Rattus norvegicus: one gene and its partner. The protein of the gene in region 2 interacts with the protein of the main gene of each other region in a pairwise test. Links are inferred from orthologs where the notes say so. Each region holds a gene or a part of one and is shown on either strand. Other genes may lie near its edges.

What was found. The genes of interacting proteins can lie anywhere in the genome.
Region 1: the proteins of Spg21 (region 2) and Dtx3l interact in binary tests that used the Homo sapiens proteins (3 or more experiments, as listed by UniProt). The two-hybrid records come from large-scale screens. The link is inferred for Rattus norvegicus from reciprocal best matches to the Homo sapiens genes SPG21 and DTX3L.

Annotation. Positions count from the first base shown.
Region 1 is NC_086029.1:78,319,129-78,323,269, reverse strand, and holds the start of Dtx3l (E3 ubiquitin-protein ligase DTX3L), read right to left. Parts: upstream 2,932-4,141; coding exon 2,748-2,931; intron 814-2,747; coding exon 566-813; intron 1-565. Other genes in the region: protein mono-ADP-ribosyltransferase PARP9, read left to right, coding at 2,861-3,113.
Region 2 is NC_086026.1:74,893,050-74,896,681, forward strand, and holds part of Spg21 (maspardin), read left to right. Parts: intron 1-3,171; coding exon 3,172-3,280; intron 3,281-3,632. UniProt on the Homo sapiens protein: May play a role as a negative regulatory factor in CD4-dependent T-cell activation.

The DNA of each region.
Region 1 (4,141 bases), on a different chromosome or scaffold from region 2:
CGTCAAGAAGGAGTTTGTAAGCTTTGAGCTCCTAAAGTAGCTCTAAATCCCAGAAGGAGTCTCGCCCTTTCTCATCTCACCTTACCTTTTCTTACCCTCTTACTTTAAGAAAACCCCAAAGCAGCCAAGAAGTGGTAGCATAGGCCTTTAATCTCAGCACTCAGGAGGCAGAGGCAGGTAATCTCTGAGTTTGAGGCCACGCTGGTCTACAGAGTGACCAGGACAGCCAGGACTATATACAGAAACCTTGTCTTGAAAAAAAAACATAAACAAAAACAAAAATAAGCAAATAAATAAAATAAAAAGAAGACACTCACCCCCCCCAAACTCCTACCTACTTTCTCAGGTTTATATAGCCTTGTTCACCCTTCTCCAGTGTAACAAGAAGGATGTCTCACTGAAACCCATGTCCAGAGAAGGCTGTTTCTCCCTAACTCAGGCTGACTGAGATCCTGATAATCTACCTGTTCCAACTAAGCTTCATTCTTACCTGTGCACAACACTGCCTGAATACCCCGAGGGGAAGCAGACCCCAGAGCAGCCCAGCTCCTCTGTCAGCACTCACCTTTTGGACAACTGAGTCAACAGAGTTAAAAACGGGCCCATCACTGGGTATCTTATCACCCAGTGCTTCATCCAGGGACTCTGTCAAGGACGGAGGTCGGGAGCTTGGTGTCTCAGCTGGCTGTGTCAGTGATGGAGGTCTGGGTCTCAGGTCCTCTTCTGGCTTTTTAATAGTTTCCAGGACAATAGGCACAGATTTGTCATCAACCAACAGCTTGTGTTTTCCCCTTTTCAACACATTCTCCTTATCTTGAGGGGAGACATTAAACACATACATTCACACAGCAATGAGAGAGGATTTACAGAAATGACCCTCAGGGTCCCTCTAGGTTGATTCCAGAAATGTCCGAGGACACCACCTTCAGCGATATCCCTAACAAGCTTAGGGCTTTCACATAAGCTACGCATACTCTCCCCTATGCTTTTGTGTTTGTTTGTTTGTTTTTGAGACACCAGGTAGTCCTGGCTGCCCTGAAACTCCCGGTGTAGATCAGGCTGGCCTTGAACTCACAGAGATCTGCCTGCCTCTGCCTCCAGAGTGCTGTAATTAAAGGCATGTGCCACCACTGCCCACAGAGACTTTTAAGAATTTCTAGATGAATTTTTAATCCTTCACGCAAGCTAAACACTACGGGTGAACCCTAGAGTGTGGAACTGTTGCGTAAATTTCCCCAAGATTGAAACATTCTACCCTGCAGAGAAGTTCCTTAAGCAAGAAGGCAAACAACTCAAAATAGCTTTAGGAAATCCCCGAAATTGAATAGGCCCCTCCCTGACAGAGTAAGCAATAAAGACTGTTGGGAAGAGTCCTCCTGAGACTCCAAGAACAGAGCTTCGATGAAGATCTGCATAGGAGACTCTCGGACAAGCCAAGCTGAGAAGAAAACTTTGACACTAGAGAAGCTACCTGCAGAAGGTGGACACTAAGCTCCCTGGAGGAGGTTTACACCAGCTGAGGCACCTGGAAGGGATATGCTCAGGAGCCTGCTTGCAGGCTCTACAGTGAGCTCCAGGTTCCCAGCTTCCTGAGCTGCCCCCCATGCTAGGTCAGCTTTGGCGATAGAGTTGTCTTTGAGTCATTTCCCATATTCCTGTGAGTAACCCCAATAAACACATTGGTTTACCAAGTTGGACCTTTGCAGTATCTGTTGTAGGCCCCTTGTCAGATGCACACAGAGGACGTGAACAGTTATTTCTGGCATATTCTGGAACAGCAGGCTGTTGATGGGAGAAGCTATTCAGAACTTCAAAGTAGGGAGCTTAAGTTTTACCATATTATATAACTTGGTTATTAGAAACCACGTTTCTAGTCTGGGCATGCTGGTACACACCCACAGTCCTAGCACTTAAATGGTAGAGGTAGCGGTGTGTGTGTGTGTGGGGGGGGGAGATCATGAATTCAAAGCCAATCCGTGGTACACGGCAGGATCCTGTCTCAAAGGGTGGGGGTGGGAGGGAAACCTATGTTTTGTAATAGTTTTGAGTCTCTTATTTCAATGACGTTGAATAATAGTTATTGCATAGTTAAGTGGGGACCCCCCCAAAAAAACCCAAGAATCCAAAAGTCTAGAACGTATATGCATTAGCTGACTCAGAAAAAGAATGCATGAAAATGCTTTCATTGGGGACATTAGTGGGGCACCGCATGCCTTTAATCCCAGCAGAGGCAGGAGGATCTCTGTGTTCAGCCTACAGAGCGAGTTCTTGGACAGCCAGGGATACAGGGAGAAACCCTGTCTCTAAAACCAACCAAAACCAAACAATCTTCAATTAAGTTTTCATTTGCCTTTCCTTTTTAAAGTGGTCGTATGTTACTTTTGTAATCCTTAAAAAACACATCGATGAGATCATTATTTACAACAGGAAAGTGGCTTGGAGTCCAGACCCGTGGTGGAGCACTTGCCTAGTGCGCACAAGCTTCTGGGTTTCCTTCTCAGTCCCAACCCCCACACTTTGTTTCTTTTCTTAACTGGGTCTGCTGGGAAATTCTCCGATGGAGTCAACCGTCTGCGGGTGGACTCATCTGAGGCTCTATCTGCCACTGAGCGATGGAGGAGTCTGTGGACCGCACTCTCCCACAGGCAGAGAGAGCCACACTCTCCTCGGAAGCATGCAGGGGTCGGTTTGGAAACCTGTTGGATCCACCTTTGCACCCGAGCCTTATTTCCCCTGCCCCGGCTCACCTGCTTTTTCAAGGAACTTCACCTCGAAGGTGTCCGGGGCGCCGGGCCCCACGGGATGAACAGAGCACTCCCCGCCTCCGGAGGCCCGGCTCTGGAAATATATCTCCAGCTTCATGTGCGCTCGGGGGATGGACTCCGGCAGCCTTACGAGTAGTGGGGACGGCGGGTCCGGACTGGAGGCCATGGCTGGCTGCGTCTGGCTCGCTTGGGGCTCAGGGGTGCTGCACAACCAGGACAGAGAGAAGGCGCGTCCTGCCCCAGAGACCCGAGAGGCAAAGTTTCAGTTTCGTTTCCCGGGAGGTCCCTCCCTGTTCCCCGCAGAGCCGCCGCCTCTCTTGCTCTGCAGTCGGCCAGGGCCATCACCCGGTGAGTAGTTCGCATACTTGGCGGTGGGCGCTTAGAGGCCCCGTGGTGGCAGGTCGCCTTCTTTTCTTGAAGGAACGGAAGAGTGGCGGGAACCGGGTTCTCAGCCTCAGGCTTCCCAAGGGTGGAGCGGAGTAGAGGGTAAAGAGTTTCACTTGTTTGTGCTTTTGTTATATGATTTTGTTATATGAGTATTAGAACTGGTATTTACTGAGATGCGATTCTGATTTCAAGTGGAGGGAGTTTACCTGCTTGGTGACCTATCACCAGTTCTTTCCCCTTTAGATGGGCACCTTAGGGATTTTCTGCTCTGGGGCCTTAAGTCAGCGAATAGCACAGATCTACTTGCTTCCTAGAGAGTGAGGTAAAGAGGCACTCAGCACAGAAGCAATAAGTACCTGTGAACCAAGCAAAAGTCAAAGCGCTGGTTTCAAGCGGAATCTTAAGGTGGGGTGGGGGAGGGGAGGAAAGTATCCTTCCTTGGCTGGTAGAGCTGAAGTCCAGAGGGTTCAGTTCCAGGGCCAGGGAGAGGAAGAGGAATCTTGGTTGTCCTTCTGACTGCGTCTAGAATCATCTAAAACCCTAGCTAGCTGCATAGTGCTTGGGGGCAATTTTCTTGATTGGGTCATTTGAGACCGGAAGACCGACCCTAAACCTGGGTCACACCTCCTGGTAGCAGCCTATATAAAAGGACCAGGAAAACGGAAGTTTTGAGTTTTGTCTGCTCTCCTCAAAACAGACAAGTGCACCCCAGAGCAGACTCCCATGAGCAGCCTCCAAGGAACCTTAGAGGTCTTTCTTCTATGAAAGCAACACTGCCCTCTGGAGGCTCAGCGGATCCCGATCGGGCGGTTTCGGTATTCGAGTTACTCCTCAATGTGCATGGCTAACTGGACTCTGATGCTATACCCAGTTTTTTCTATTGCAAAGACATTATAGATCAGCCCAGAGACTCAGTGATAGCAACGGTTTTAGATAACGATATTGTAAGTTTTAGTCGTGAGTCTAACAGTTCATAATCTTTAGTTGTA
Region 2 (3,632 bases):
TCTTGGGATTGTTTTCTCCTGGAACTGTGAAGGGGGTCCCTGTAATCTCCAAGAGCAGTAGTTGTCAGCAAATGAACGGCATTAGGAGAGCAGGTTCTCCCCAAGTCTATTCCCTTAGACCTTGATACTCAGTCGAAGGTGTCTTTTGAGTTCTGATGTTATGTGGAGTCTGGCAGGATTTTATATTTATAGATATTAAAGATTTTCCTTTTTTTTTTGATCTCACTAAACTCAGACATCTGCCAGTATTAAAGGCTCATTCCATTATGCCCAGCTAGTACAAGCATGTGGTGCACAGACATACACGCAGATAAACCACTTACACATAAAATGACTAAGTCTAGTTACAAAAAGACACGAGGCTTGACCCTTCTCTCCAAGGGTGATGAGTTGAGGATCTTTGCCCCTTCTTTTACGGCAGTTCTATCTGAGAATTAAACTTTGTCTTGCTCTGAGCCCTGTCCGCCCCCATCCCAGGGCTGTTGTTACCTGTTTCGGTGACTTCAGGTTGTTCAGCTGGACCTTTGTCCTGAGCTGTCCTGGTGGAAAGGTTACTTGAGCATGTGGGATAGGTAGGTGGGCGATCTTGTCCCTGAAGGGAAATAGGCACTTTAGCATCTATAAGAACCTATGCTTTGGGCTGACTTCCAGAGTTGCATTCTGAAGGTTACAAAAGGATGGCCTCTGCCTTTCCAAGCCTCTCATCAGAAGAGTAAGTAGTCTGTAAAGTGTTATTTTTTTGTCCTGGCTACCTAATATTTCAGTTCTGAACAAATAGTACTAATATCCAGCAGGAAATCAAGTCATTGTTGCCTGTCAGATTTACCCAGGACTCCTATGGGCAGTTGTATAGTGTCGTAAGTTCTTTGAGTCTTTCTGTGTCTGTGAACCTCCCAGTCTTCCTTCCAGCCCTCGTACCTTCACATTAGAGCGCTCTATTCTGCTGTTCCTCCGCCTTGGCCCAGGTGTGCCAGTCCCTTGCCTCAGGCACCTCAGTGCTTGGAGAGAGCTTTTCCTCCAGTCTAATACAGCAGCCAGCAAGGAGGCAGCCAGTGTCTGGCTCCCTCCTCCTGCAGTTGCTGTGTGTTATTAAACACCATAAAGGTGACATCATTTCCCCCAGAACAAGTTTGTACAAATGCTCCCTCAATCCTTTATAGATCTCTCTTATTCTGATTTTTATGGGGGTGTGGAGGGGGGCAGTCATGTGTTCAGAGGCAGAGATTGGTATCTAATATCTTCCACCATCATTGTCTCAGATAGAGGCAGAGTCTAGAAGCTGCCACCTTACCCGGGGAATCCCCTGCCTTGACCTCCCACACACTCCCGGCATTGACTCAGGCACTACAGATGTGAACTCCAGCCCTCACGCTTGAAGGGCAAGCACTTTACCCTTTGACCCATCTCCCCAGCTCTGTTTTGTTGGGGTTTTGTTTTGGGTTCCATGTTTTCTAGGCTGGCTTCCAGCTGTCTGCGTGTGACCTAAAAGTCCCGGTCCTCTCGAGTGTTGGGATTATAGGTGTGAACCACTATACCGAATTTATGCAGTCATGGAGATTGAACCCCAAGGCTTTTTGCATGCTAGGCAAGCACTCTACCAACCAAGCCACATTGTAGCCCTTATTCTGCTTTAAATATGCACATGCCACATGTTGTGTTACCTCACGGTCAGCACTGATCTGTCCTCTCTAGGACCTGAAGTGGATCTTTGGCATTTTGTTGTTGCTCCCGATCTGGTTGAGTCTCTTGTTTGGGAAACCCTTCAGCACTTCCTAAAGCCTGATAGCATTCATGTCCAGTAATGCTCCCGGGGAGGCATTCCCCATCGGTTGTGTCCCGGTATAGTCTCATCATCGGAATGGGTGCTGTTAGCCACTGGGGATCTACTGGTCCCTCCTGCCTCGCCTGATCAGTCAGTGTTCCTTCATCTCCTGGTAACGGCATGTACAGTCAATACACCGCAAAGATAGAGTGAATTACTCCTTGGAAGGAAGTCTTTCTGTGGGGAAGGTTGTTATTCTGTCAGTTAAGCAAGCCATGTTGTAAATGTCCAACACCCGAGACCTCCACAGGCCTGGCCAGAGGGGAAGCAGCTGCCTGGCCCAACTGCCCAGCTTCCTTAATCTCGGTTTCCTCTTTCAGGTTTTCCTTCACAAGCTTTCTGTTACTCGCTGTGGTGTTTCCTTGCCTTTCTTGTACCATTTGGAGCAATCTAACCATTCTACTTCAGGATGAACAATTTATTATTCTCCCAAACAAATCCTTTTTAGAAAACAAATTCTGTTTTTAACTTCCCTCACCACAGAATGTCTTCGTACTTACTTCATAGTTGTGCCTTTCTTTGCGTTTCGCTCATGGTTCCTGCTTCCTTCCTTGAAATGCAGATCATCAGACCATGTGTTAGCTGTGGAGCAAGAAGCAAGGCTGGCTACTCTGTACAGCAAGTTCCCGCAGCCAGGCTCTCTAGTCGCAGCCAAACAGTAACAACAGAGTTATAGTTTAAAACAAACTTTACAGAAACAGCCAAATTTAGACAGTTCTTTTCAGTAAGCTATATTTTATGATTTTATGATGTCTTCATCAGAATGCAGCGCAATTCCTTTCTGTAATCTTGCTTATATAGAATTACATGCTAGTTCCAATCTTCACTCATGGTGACCTCACTTTTGGGTTCAGGTCAAGAACAAAGCAACCCTAAACTGTTTCTCTACATGCACACAGTTTAAGAAAACTTGTTTATTAACAGACCCAAACATATTTTTAGCTTTGCGAATAGATTCAAGATATATATATGTCACTGCTAAGATTACCCAAGTCTTGTAAACCTAAAGACCTCTAGTTTAATGATCAGTTCCATTTTATTTAAGCATTCATTTATCTGTAAACCTACTTGAAGAATTCTTGGGATTTTTTTTCTTTTTCAGTCATCCCCCCCCCCCCCCGCTCTCTCTCTCTCTCTCTCTCTCTCTCTCTCTCTCTCTCTCTCTCTCTCTCTCTCTCTCTCTCACACACACACACACACACACACACAAGCTTCAGACTCACTGTGTAACTCAGGCTGGTTGTTCAGCCTTCCTCTGGATTCCAGGCGTCCTGCTGTGATGGAGCTTCAGTGCTAAAGATCACTCTCCTTTTCTGTGTCAGTCACCAGCCTCTGTCCTTGTTTTGCAGCTTCTGGCTGATGCCAGCGTTTATGCTCAAGAAAATAGTTCTGGGGAACTTTTCCTCTGGCCCAGTGGACCCGATGATGGCTGATGCCATCGATTTCATGGTGGACAGGGTAAGAACGGTGACACTGTAGGCACTTCCACTGGGGTTTCCGTGCACGTGTAAAGGGGGTCCATCATCTGTGGTGTGCTCAGGGGAGGTCTTTGTGAAGCCGTCCTCTGTATTAACTGTAGTACTTCAGACAGACTCTGCTTCTTCTGGTCAGGGCTTAGCTGCATCAAGGTCTCCCAGCAGCTGCTGCACATTCAAACCCAACAGCAACTTAGAAAGCAGAGTGATGCTTGCTGGGGCCTAAACCCAGGAACCTGGCACTTGGGAGGCAGAGGTAGGCAGATCTCTGTGAGCTCAAAGCCAATCTGGTCTACAGAGTGAGTTCCAGGACAGCCAGGGCTACACAGAGAAAC